Linked DNA regions of Callithrix jacchus. The main gene of each other region encodes a partner of the protein of the gene in region 3 in a complex. Links are inferred from orthologs where the notes say so. Each region holds a gene or a part of one and is shown on either strand. Other genes may lie near its edges.

What was found.
Region 1: APOOL (region 3) and IMMT share a complex: the UniProt entries of both Homo sapiens proteins name them as parts of the mitochondrial contact site and cristae organizing system (MICOS) complex. The link is inferred for Callithrix jacchus from reciprocal best matches to the Homo sapiens genes APOOL and IMMT.
Region 2: APOOL (region 3) and MICOS13 share a complex: the UniProt entries of both Homo sapiens proteins name them as parts of the mitochondrial contact site and cristae organizing system (MICOS) complex. The link is inferred for Callithrix jacchus from reciprocal best matches to the Homo sapiens genes APOOL and MICOS13.

Annotation. Positions count from the first base shown.
Region 1 is NC_133515.1:26,804,308-26,808,477, forward strand, and holds the start of IMMT (MICOS complex subunit MIC60), read left to right. Parts: upstream 1-1,370; 5' UTR 1,371-1,487; coding exon 1,488-1,532; intron 1,533-4,170. UniProt on the Homo sapiens protein: Component of the MICOS complex, a large protein complex of the mitochondrial inner membrane that plays crucial roles in the maintenance of crista junctions, inner membrane architecture, and formation of contact sites to the outer membrane.
Region 2 is NC_133523.1:5,376,730-5,380,898, reverse strand, and holds the start of MICOS13 (MICOS complex subunit MIC13), read left to right. Parts: upstream 1-1,369; 5' UTR 1,370-1,402; coding exon of another isoform or gene 1,403-1,431; 5' UTR 1,432-1,559; coding exon 1,560-1,747; intron 1,748-2,118; coding exon 2,119-2,296; intron 2,297-2,479; coding exon 2,480-2,531; intron 2,532-4,103; coding exon 4,104-4,169. UniProt on the Homo sapiens protein: Component of the MICOS complex, a large protein complex of the mitochondrial inner membrane that plays crucial roles in the maintenance of crista junctions, inner membrane architecture, and formation of contact sites to the outer membrane.
Region 3 is NC_133524.1:82,523,959-82,528,068, reverse strand, and holds the start of APOOL (MICOS complex subunit MIC27), read right to left. Parts: upstream 2,801-4,110; 5' UTR 2,729-2,800; coding exon 2,699-2,728; intron 1-2,698. UniProt on the Homo sapiens protein: Component of the MICOS complex, a large protein complex of the mitochondrial inner membrane that plays crucial roles in the maintenance of crista junctions, inner membrane architecture, and formation of contact sites to the outer membrane.

The DNA.
Region 1 (4,170 bases), on a different chromosome or scaffold from region 3:
GAAAGAATACTATATTGTAATAAATTACCCAGTTAAGACCTGGAATACTTTGCAAACTCAATAGAAGATAGAAAAGTTAGTTTCCACGATATTGCAATAAGATGGTAATAGTATTAATACTAACATATTAATACTGGAGTATACATGAAGTATTAATACCATATTTTAATATTTAACATGTTTTGATTATAGAATCAGTAGAATACTTTCTTTTTAAAAATTTTTTTCGGCCAGGCGCGGTGGTTCATGCCTATAATCCCAGCACTTTGGGAGGCCGAGGCGGGCAGATCATGTCAGGATATCGAGACCATCCTGGCCATGATGAAACCCCATCTCTACTGAAACAGAAAAAGTTAGCCAGGTGTGGGGGCAGGCGCCTGTAGTCCCAACTACTCAGGAGACTGAGGCAGGGGAATTGCTTGAATCCGGGAGACAGATGTTGTAGTCAGCTGAGATTGTGCCACTGTACTCCAGGGAAAGAGCAAGACTCCGTCTCAAAAAAAAAAAAAAAAATGTATATATATATATATATATATACATACACACACACATACATACATATATATACACACATACATATATATATGTATATTTTGTTTGTTTTTGTTTTTCTGTATAGAGACTAGGTCTCACTGTGTTGCCCAGGCTGATCTCGAACTTCTGGGCTCAAGCGATCCTCCCGCCTCGGCCTGCCGAAGTGCTGGGATTACAGGCGTGAGCCACCGCGCCCGGCCTAATGGAATACTTTCAACCGTGCTTCTGTATTGACCTTCCATGTTCCAACCCATCCACAATTGCAGCCAAAATGATGTTACTAAAGTAAAAACTTGGGAGAAAGCTTCTGGAAGGAGCAGAAGCTGTGGAGTCCAAAGAACCTGTGTTCCTATCCTTTTTGTGCCACTTGACACGTTCCGCACAAGGGTCCCTACAGTGTTCGTTCACCGTCTTCGGCAATCAGGATGACTCCCTGAAGGGCTGTCAAACGAAGCAAACTCGCAAACTGAGACAATTCCATTGTTTACGTAACTTTGGCCAAATCCACTCCTTCCTACGAAATATCCAGCTCACAGAGCCGGCTGAGATGCTTTCTTGCTTTAATTCTTTGAAGAGTCACAGGTGTCCATTTTACACGTGCGGCTGAAGACTGGATTTCAGAAGGCCCTCCCTCCCGCCGCGTTCACCTAGTAACCCCAGCTTGGGGATAAGGACCTGTAGCCTCAGTGCGACCCGGAAAGTGAATCCGCCCTTCTAGCCTCCTTCGCACCAATCGCCCGGAGCTGGCGTTTCCGCAGCCGGGGTAGAACCCACCCTTTAAGAGCTGCCGAGTCGGGTACCGGAGAAGAGGTTGCGCGTGCGCAGTGGAGTCGGCTGCCCTTCCGGTGCGCCGGGCGCGGACGCGGGCACGCACATACGCACGCACGACTCCACTTACTCGCGCCGCCGCTGCAGCTCCAGCGTTCACTAGTGCCGCCGTCCGCTCCACCGAGATGCTGCGGGTCTGTCAGTTATCGGGTGTGACCGCCGCCGCCCAGGTGAGCACTGGGGCTACCGAGGGCGTGTGAGGAAGCTGACCTAAGACCGTCAGCGGCAAACTGGGGAGTCTTGGACGCTGCCTCGCTTCCAGGACAGAGGCGAGTCTTAGGGCCAACCTTGTTGGGAGAGGCCCGGGCTGGCAGTGAGGCAGCCACCAGAGAGTTCGCCGGAGTGGGATGACTTGAGGTTATTGCCACAGCAGGGTGGGGTGTGGAGAGTAGCGGGAGGCGCGGCTTCGCGGGCGTGCCATCCAATCAGCGCCGCGCTGCCCCCATCCAGGACCAATCCTGGCTGCTGTCGTCTGGGTCGCCGGTTGGGCGCGCGATAGGTTTCCACGGCTGAAGGTCGCCGCGGGAGAACTACAGTTCCCGGCAGGAGGAGCGGAGCCGCGGCTTGTTGCATCCTTGATCAGGAGGTTCTTGGACTTCTAGAGAGAGTCCACATTTTAGGGGTCAAGTTTATAATTATCTGGAGGGGACTGTCTTTTCGCATCTGAGAACACCTCTGAACTGCTATTCGTAATTCAAACAAAAGCGAAAGATGAAATTCCTTTGTGGAGCTGAAACTCCTGGTAAGGAAAGACAGGAGTCATGACCTTGTGGCTCATTTCTGAGATTAGGACAGGGATCTGTGTCTCCAGGCGCTAAGACTACTTTGACATTCAAGGAGCCAAAACACCCAGTTGCTTTTAGTTTTACGTAGTAACCAAAGTTACTTTCTAAAATTGAAAATAAACCTGTTTGCATTGCTCATGATTTTCAGAAAGTTGATATTTTGGCAAAATGTTGTAGATAGTAAAACAAGTACTGTGACTCAAGCAGTAATTGAACAGAATCTCCAGGAATAGTGAGTTAGAGATCATAAAAGTCAAGCTTTGTTTTTTCAAGTTCGCTTCTCTTTCTATTTGCTGCTAGGGTAAGAGAAGCAGCCCCTTCCATAGGAAAGTGGAACGAACCTGTGTTAGTCTTCTATTGCTATGTAACAACACAAATTTTGCAGCTTGAAACAACACCCGTGAATGACTCCTACACTTTCTGTAGGAGTCTGGGCATGGATGATCTGGGTTCTCTGCTCAGGGTCACACAGGGCTGCAAAGTATTAGCCATGCTGTGGTTCTCTTGGAGATCAGGGTCCTCTTCCAGGCTCATGCAGTCTGTTGGCAGAATTCAATCCCTTGCAGTTACAGGACTGAAGTCCCTCTTTTCTTGCTGCCTCTTGCCAGCCACTGCTCACAGCTTCCATAGCAAGGCCTCCAGAGGCCATTGGTAGCACGGATGTTTGCTTTCGTGCAAGCTACCAGGAGCTTGTCTCTCTGACTTCCAAATTTCTTTTACTTCCGTCTTTCCTCTCTAGACCCAGATTTAAAAGGCTTATGTGATTAGACCAGACCCACCTGAATGACCTCCTTTTCAGTTAATTCAGTCAACTTTTTGGGATCCCATTTGGGGAATAAGAAGACTAATTAAAACTTGGTAATAAAAAATGTACCCTTTTATAGCTCTAAGTCAAGATGTCTAAGCTTCCTGAAATTGCTATCTTATCAACTCTCAGAACTTTAATCCCCAAGCAGATGACTCTGTAGCCTCATCATATTTGATTTTGTCAACTTATCCAGAATATTCCACTTGTCAAGATCCTTTCCACTTTATTAAACTCCATCATCTTTTTTTTTTTTTTGATACAGAGTCTCACTTTGTCACCCAGGCTTGAGTGCGGTGGGATGATCATGGCTCACTGCAGCCTTGACCTCCCGAGTGCAGGGGATCCTCTTACCTCAGCCTCCTGAGCAGCTGGGACCACAGGCATGTGCCACCATCCCTGGCTAATTTTTAAAAAAAATATTGTAGAGATGGGGTCTTTCTGTGTTGCCCAGGCTGGTCTCAAACTCCTTGGCTCAAATGATCCTCCCACTTCTGCCTCCTAAAATGGCTGGGATTATAGGTGTGCGCCACTGTGCCCAGCAACCCCATCTTAAATGTCTTACTGCTTTTACTATTTCATCCTAGTGTCCATTGTTTAGGAGGGAGTAGTAAAACCAGTAAGACATTTAGTTAGTAAAAGACTTTTTAAAAGGCAAACATGATGTCATGTCCTTTAGAGACATCCCATCACGTTCAGAATAACATTTAAACTGTCTGCTGTGGGCCCTTGATCTGACTCTTCTCATATTTCATTTTTCTACTGCCTCACTCAGATTCTCCTGGTAATCTCCAGCATGTACCTCACTCCCTTTTCATTAGGTGTTTCTTTTGCCCTGGGCTCTACTCACACGTTTGCTTAGCTTATTACCTTCAGTTATTTTCTCAAATGTCACCTTCCCTTCAGAGAGGGCATCCCGATCCAAAATAGTATTCTGATTACTCTTGCCTTCCTTGCATCACCTGTATTTTTATCCCATCCTACTTTATTATGCTTTGTAGCTCCTAGCACTACCTGATGTTATAATGTGCATTGCACAGTCACCTTTAAAACGTAAACTCCACAATGGAACTGTGTCCATATAGTTTGCTGCTATATTTCCAGTACTAACAATAGTCCCTGGCTCTGAGTGGATGCTCATATATATGTTTATGACATATATAAATGAATGAATGAATATAATGTGTTCATTAATTTTTTTTTTTTTTTTTTTTTGAG
Region 2 (4,169 bases), on a different chromosome or scaffold from region 3:
TGGATGGATGAGTGGATGGACAGAAGGAGGGATGGAGGCATGGATGGATAAATGGATGAGCGGATGGATGTATGATGAATTTGGGAAACAGATGGATGAATGGATGGGTGGATGGATGGGGGAGCAGATGGATGGATTGATGGGTGGATGGATGGGCAGACAGTTGGATGAACGGATGCGTGGATGGATGGGGAGACAGATGATGAATGGAAGTGTGGATGGATAGATGGAAGGATCGGTGGGTGGATGGTCAGATGGATAGATGGCTGGATGGGGGGAGCAGATGGATGAACGGATGCGTGGATGGATAGCGAGACCGATAAAGGGAACTGTGGATGGATAGATGGATGGGTGGGTGGGTGGATGGCCAGATGGATAGATGGATGGGTGAGGGGACAGATGGATGGAAGGATGGACGTATGGACGGATGGATGGGCAGATGAACGGTTGAAGCAGCCTGGCCGAGATGCAGGAGGAATCCGGGCGGCGGGGGGCGGGGAGGGACAAATTCCTGCAGAACCCACCGGCCCCTTCTAGACCCCGGCGGGCCTTAGCTTCCCCTCCGAACAAAGGGGGTGTGTGACCTGCTGCGCAGCCCTAAACTGTATACTTACCCACTCAGGCCTCAGTTTCCCCCACTATCCAGCGGGGTTGGGGTCCCGGCCTGGGAGCCACGCGAACGTCCCACGGAGCTCTCTTCCCGGCCGCCTCCTGCCGGGTCTCTGACCGCGCCCCCTCCCGTAGGGCCCGGGTCACCTGACTCCAAACCCACCTCCTCGCGGGGAGGGGCCGGGCCTCGGGGACCCAGCGCCGGAGCGTCGCCAGGCAACAGTCCCCGCCTGCTCTCCACCTCCCAGTCTCGGCCCCGCCCCTTGGGTGGAATCCCCGCCCCCGAATCCATCATGTGACGGGACCGCCGCTTTCGAACAATCCCGCCTTCGCGTTGCCGTGACAACCACTTTCTATGGGCACTTTTTCTAGGTCCCGGTCCTTAGTCCCCCGTGCGGGCGCGGGCGGATCTCTCGGGCTCCGACTTCTTCTCGGGTCACCTTCAGGCTTCAGTCCAGGCACCCGACGCCTCGTTCCCCTCACACTGCTAGGGCCGGGTTAGGCCGGACCGGACTACATTTTCCAGGAGGCTCCGCGGCCAGGCGTAAACAGCGCGGTGCTGACTACATTTCCCAGACAGCCTTGCAGCGGCCCGGGTCCTGAAGCGTCCATTTCCCAGCGGCCCTTCGTGGCGGGACCGTAGCCCTTCTCTGGAGTCTCAGCGCCCTAAGAGACTACCACTCCCAGGAGACTCTGCGTCGCGCAAGAAAGACTACGCCTCCCAGAGGCCTCTGCGGCGTGGCGACCGGAAGCGGCGGGCGAGTCGTGTCCTTGCGCGTGGAGCCGAGCGACTATGGTGGCCCGGGTGTGGTCGCTGATGAGGTGCGTGGGGCCGCCGGATAGGACCTGAGTCCCCGAAAAAGTCCCTTTTTGTGGGCACCCTTGTCTCCAGTCTGCTTGCGATCTGTTCCTCGCTTCATGTAGAGTTACCTTCCCTTCCTCCCCCGCCTATGGGCCAGATAGGGAAACTGAGGCTCCAGCGGGGTGGGGCTTCCCTAGGTCTCCAATCCCTCCCCTCTTGCCTGCCAGCGAGCCCTTTGCGTTCCGCTCACGGTGTCTGCCTCCGCCTCCGAGCCTCAGTTGTCTTCTCTGTGAAGAGGCAATGCCCGGTGAATCCTGTCGCTGGCGTGGATGGGAGGTGAATGCGTGCTCGGAGCGAGTGACAGCGGGCAGGAGGCGTCCAGGGACACTTGGTTTCTCCAGGGCTGGAAGGCTCTGGAAAGTCAAGGATCTTTTTCACTGCCCCTGCTCACTGTGGGAACTTGAGTGACCCACTCTCCCGCTCTGGGTTTCAGTTTACCGATTAAAATGGCGTCCAGCCGCCCTGCCTTGCACATTGTGAATCGAGTGCTGTATATGATAGGGGTCTGGGTCGACGGTGCTACATACAGAGTGTCACCCTGTGGACGGTGAGCCCCCGGGAGGGTCTGACTCTCCCCGTGGGCCTAGGCTCCTAAGGGTGGCGGTCAGTGTCCGCTAAGCTTCTGCTCCTCCCGTCCCTACCCGCAGGTTCCTCATCAAGGGAAGTGTGGCTGGGGGCGCCGTCTACCTGGTGTATGACCAGGAGCTGCTGGGGTCCAGCGACAAGAGCCAGGCAGCCCTAAAGAAGGCTGGGGAAGTGGTTCCCCCGGCCATGTACCAGTTCAGCCACTACGTGTGTCAGCAGACAGGCCTGCAGATACCCCAGGTACTCCAGGCTGGGAGCGAGGCCAGGGCTTGGCGAGTGGCCGACTCTGGGGCTGCCTCCAGCCCTGCATGATGCCCTCCGTGTTGGTGCTGCCTGATTCTCAGGCCTGTTCTCCTCCCTCTGTCTCTGGGGCTGGGCTGCTGGGTCTTTTCACCGGTTCTTTCTGCCCATCTCTCTTCCCAGCTCCCAGCTCCTCCAAAGATTCACTTTCCCATCCGTGACTCCTGGAATGCAGGTAGGCACCTGGTTTCTTTGCTTGTGGGGGTTGCTGCAGACACCCCAGTCTAGCCCGTCTCCCCATGTCCTGGCCACTTTTTCTATCCATCCCCCGGCCTGCCCCACACGTGTCTCTTAGGGATCTAAAAGGGAACCGAGGCCAGGCCTGGTGGCTTATGCCTGTAATGCCAGCACTTTGCGAGCCTGAGGTAGGAGGATCACCTGAAGTCAGGAATGTCAGGAGTTTGAGACCAGCCTGGGCAACACAGTGAAACTCTGTCTCTACTACTCTGGAGGCTGAGGCAGGAGAATCTCTTGAGCCCCGGAGGTAGAGGTTGCAATGAGCCAATATTGCGCCACTGCACTCCAGCCTGGGCAACAGAGCAAGACTCTGTCTCAAATAAATGAGTAACAGGGAAAGGAGTGGAGATTCTAGGGAAGGGGACGAGGGCGGAGCCCTTGAGGGCTGGACTGTGCACCGCCTGTTAGAATGGGAGGTGGGAGGCCTGGGCCCACAGCCGAACTTGTCCTACGAGCTTGGACAAGGCAAGGCGCTGCCCCTCTGCTGCCTCAGTTTCTGCTGGAAGTTGTTTTTAAAAAGACTTGCTTGCTAGGAGTGGTGGCTCATACCTACAGCACTTTCGGAGTCTGAGGCGGAAAAGCTGTTGGAAGCCAGGACTTTGAGAACAACTTGGGCAACATTATGAGACCCTGTCTCTTCACAGAGAAAATCTGCTTTTCTTTTTTTTTCCTTTTTTGAAATGAAGTTTTGCTCTTGTTGCCCAGGCTGGAGTGCAATGATGTGATCTCGGCTCACCGCAACCTCTGCCTCCCAGGTTCAAGCGATTCTCCTGCCTCAGCCTCCCGAGTAGCTGGGATTACAGGCATGTGCCGCCATGCCCGGCTAATTCTGTATTTTTGTAGAGATGGGGTTTCTCCATGTTGGTCAGGCTGGTCTTGAACTGCTGACCTCGTGATCCGCTTGCCTCAGCCTCCCAAAGTGCTGGGACTACAGGCGTGTGCCACCACGCCTGCCTAATTTTGTATTTTTTTTTTTTTTAATAGAGATGGGGTTTCACCATGTTGGTCAGACTGGTCTTGAACTCCTAACCTCAGGCCATTCATCTGCCTTGGCTTCCCAAAGTGCTGGGATTATAGGCATGAGCCACCGTACCTGGCAAAAATTTTTTTTTTTAATTATTTTTTTAATTTTAGACGGGGTTTCACCATTTGGTTAGGCTGGTCTTGAACTCCCGACCTCAGGTGATCTGCCCGCCTTGGCCGCCAAAGTGCTTGGATTACAGGTATGAGCCACTATGCCTGGCCCAAAACATCGTTTTTAATTAGCCAGGCATGGTGGCATGTGCCTGCGGTACCAGCTACTTGGGAGGCTTATGCAGGAGGATTGCTTCAGCCCTGGAGTTCAAGGCTTCAGTGAGCTATGATGACACCACTGTGCCCCAGCCTGGGCAACAGAGGGAGACCCTGTCTCTAAAGAAACCAAAACCCCTAGAGTTTAGGATTTCCCAGGGCTTGGAGGCTGGGGGAGGCTGGGAGGGAAGCGTCACCAGTGGCCGTCCCTTCCCCACAGGAATCATCACAGTGATGTCAGCTCTGTCGGTAGCCCCCTCTAAGGCCTGCGAGTACTCCAAGGAGG
Region 3 (4,110 bases):
AGAAGGGACAGACCTCAAGGTAATAAAAGCCATTTATGACAAACCCACAGCCAATATCATACTAAATGGGGGACAAATTGAAAGTATTCCCAATGAGAACTGAAACAAGACATGGATGGTCACTTTGACCACTTCTACGCAATAGGATACTGGAAATCCTAGCCAAAGAAGTCAGACAAAGAAAGAAATAAAGGGAACTCAAACTGGAAAAGAGGAAGTCAAACCATTGCTATTCACCAATAATATCTGTTCACCAATCATATCTGATAGTATACCCAGAAAATCCTAACAACTTATCCAAAAAGCTCCTAGACCTGATAAAATAATTTAGTTAAGTCTCAGGTTACAAAATCAATGCACAGAAATCAGTAGGATTGCTAAACATCAACGACCAAGCTGAGAATCAAATCAATAATTCAATCCCTTTTACAACAGCTGCAAAACAAAAACAAAAAATAAACAAGCAAACAAAACCTCAGGAATATACTTAACCAAGGAGGTGGAAGATTTCTGTAGGAAAACTATAAAACACTGCTGAAAGAAATTATAGACAACACAAACAAATGGACACATATCCCATGCTCATGGATGGGTATAATCAATTTTGTGAAAATGACCATACTGCCAAAAACGATCTATAGATTCAATAAAATTCACATCAAAATACCATCAACATGCTTCATAGAACTAGAAGAAAACAATCCTGAAATTCTTAAGGAACCAAAAAAGAGCCCACATAGCTGAAGTAGCACTAATCAAAAAGAACAACTCTGAAGATATCATATTACCCAACTTCAAACTATACTAAAGCTACAGTTACCAAAACATTGTACTGGTATAAAAGTAGCCACATAGACCAATGGAACACAGTAGACAACCAAGAAATAAAGCCAAATACTTATAGCCAACTTATTTTAGACAAAGCAAACAAAAACATAAGAGTTGGAAAAGCACACCCCTTTTAGTCAACAAATTATGCTGGAATAACTGGCAAGCCACAGAATGAAACTGGATCCTCATCTCTCACCTTATACAAAAATCAACTCAAGATGGATCAAGGACTTAAATCTAAGACCTAAAACCATAAAAATTCTAGAAGATAATATCAGAAAAACTCTTCTAAACATTGGTTTAGGCAAAGAGTAGTTCATGACCAAGAACCCAAAAGCAAATGCAACAAAAACAAAAATAAAGAGATGGGAACTGATTAAACTAAAAAGCTTCTACATAGCAAAGGAAATAATTAGCAGAGGAAACAGACAACAGACAGAGTGGGAGAAAATACTCACAAACTATGCATCTGACAAAGGACTAATATCCAGAATCTAAAAAGAACTCAAACAAATCAGCAAGAAAATAACTTGCATGAACAAGTAGGCAAAGGTCATGAATAGACACTTCTCAAATATGCAAATATCCAACAAACATATGAAAAAATGCTTAACATCACTAATTATCAGGGAAATGGAAATTCAAACCACAGTGCAATCCCACCTTACTCCTGCAAGAATGGCCATAATTAAAATTAAAAAACAATACTTGTTGGTGTGGATGTGGTAAAAAGGGAACACATTTACACTGCAGGTAAGAATGTAAGCTAGTACAACCACTATGGAAAACAGTATGGAGATTCCTTAAAGAATTAAAAGTAGAACTACCATTCGATCCAGCAATCTCACTACTGGGTATTTACTCAAAGGAAAAAAGTTATTATATAAAAATGTCACTTGCACATGCATGTTTACAGCAGCACAATTTGCAATTTTGAAAATATATAACCAGCCCGAATGCCCATAAACCAATAAATGGACCAAAAAAAATGTGGACTATATATACAACATGGAATACTACTCAACCATAAAAAGGAACAAAATAATGGCATTTGCAGCAACCCAGATGAAGCTGGAGAACATTATTCTAAGTGTAGTAACTCAGGTATTGAAAAACCAATTACCATATGTTCTCACTAATAAGTGGGGGCTAAGCTATGAGGATGCAAAGGCATAAGAATAATATAATACACTTTGGGAACTTGAGGAGAACAGTGGGAGGGGGTAAGGGACAAAATACTGCACACTGAAGACAGTGTACACTGCTCAAGTGACAGGTGCACCAATCTCAGAATCACCACCAAAGAACTCATCCATGTAACCTAAAACCACCTATTCCTGCAAAACTACTAATATTTTGTTTAAATGTGTAAAATATCTGAACAGATACTTCATTAAAGATACACAGATAGCAAATAATCACATGAAAAGATGCTTAACATCATGTCATTGGAGAATCACAAATTAAACCAACAATGAGATACCACTACATACCTACTAGCAGGGTGAAAATCCAAAACATTGATAACAGTGAGTGCTGAGGAGAATGTGGAGCAATGGCAAGTCTCATTCATTGCTGGTCGGAATACAAAATGGTACAGCTACTTAGAAGAGTAGCTTGACAGCACTATTCACGACAGCAAAGATATGGAATCAACCTAAATGCCCACCAATGACAGATTGGATAAAAAAAATTGGTACATATACACCACGGAATAGTATGCAGCCATAAAAAGGAATGAGATCATGTCTTTTGCACAAACATGGATGAAGCTGTAGGCTGTTATCCTTAACAAGTAAATGCAAGAACAGAAAATCAAATACCACATGTTTTTACTTATAAGTGGGAGCAAGTGATGAGAACTTACAAACACAAAGGAAACAACGGACACTGGCATCTTCTTGAAGTGGGAGCTAAATGATGAGAACTTACAAACACAAAGGAAACCACAGACACTGGGGTCTTCTTTCTTCTAGGAGAAAGGAGAGGAGGAGAAAAGATAACTATTGGGTAATGAGTTTATTACCTGAGTGATGAAATAATCTGCACAACAAATGCCCATGATATGAGTTTACCTGTGTAACAAACCTTCACATGTACACCTGAACCTAAAATAGAAGTTGGAAAAACAATTAAATGAACAAATAAAAATAAAAGATTCATTCACCATGATCAGTGGGGTTTATCCCAGGGAAGCACGGATGGTTCAACATATGCAAATTAACAAACATGATACACCACATTAACCGAATGAAAGATAAAAACAACACAATCATTTCAATGAATACACAAAAAGCATTTGGCAAAATTCAACACCCTTTTGTGATAAAAACTCTCAACAAATTAATTATACAAGGTATGTACCTCAACATAATAAAGGGCATATGAGATAAGGCCACAGTAATATCATAACCAAGGTGAAAAGCTAAAAGCTTTTCCTCTAAGATCAAGAACCAGACAAAGTTGCTCACTCTTGCCACCTCTATTCAACATAGCACTGGAAGTCCTAGCCAAAGCAATTAGGCAAGTGAAAGAAATAAGAGGCATTCAAATTGGAAAAAAAGAAATAAAATTGTCTCTTTTCCCACATTACATGATATTATACATAGAAGATTTTAAATATGCCACCAAAACCCTGTTAGAACTAATAAATAAAGGGAACTGCAGCATACAAAGTCAACATACAAAAAGCAGTTGGATTTCTATGCACTATCGAAGATGGTCTACCCAAAAAAGAAAGAAAACCCATTTAAAATAGCATCAGAAAGAATAAAACAGAAATAAACTTAACCCAAGAGGTGAAAGAACTGTATACTGATAACTATCAAAGAGTGATGAACAAAACTGAAGATACAAATGAATGCAAGATATCCTATGTTCATGAATTGGAATAATTAATGTTAAAGTAGCCACACTACCCAAAGCTATCCACAGATTCGATTCTAATGGCATATTTCACAGACATAGGAAAATAAACAATTGCAAAATTTGTATGGAATCACAAAATACTCTGAATAGCCAAAGTAGTTGTATAACCAAAGCAAATAAAATCAGCAATTGCAAAGATATCTGTATTCCACGTTCATTGCAGGATTATTCACAACAGCCAAAATATGAAAACAACCTAAGTGTCTGCCAACAGATGAATGAAGAAATTGTGGTACACACACATACACAAAACACACACACACACACACACACACACACACAGGCAATGGGTTATTATTCAACCATAAAAAAAGAAAGAAAACCTGTCATTTGCAACAACATGGATAAACC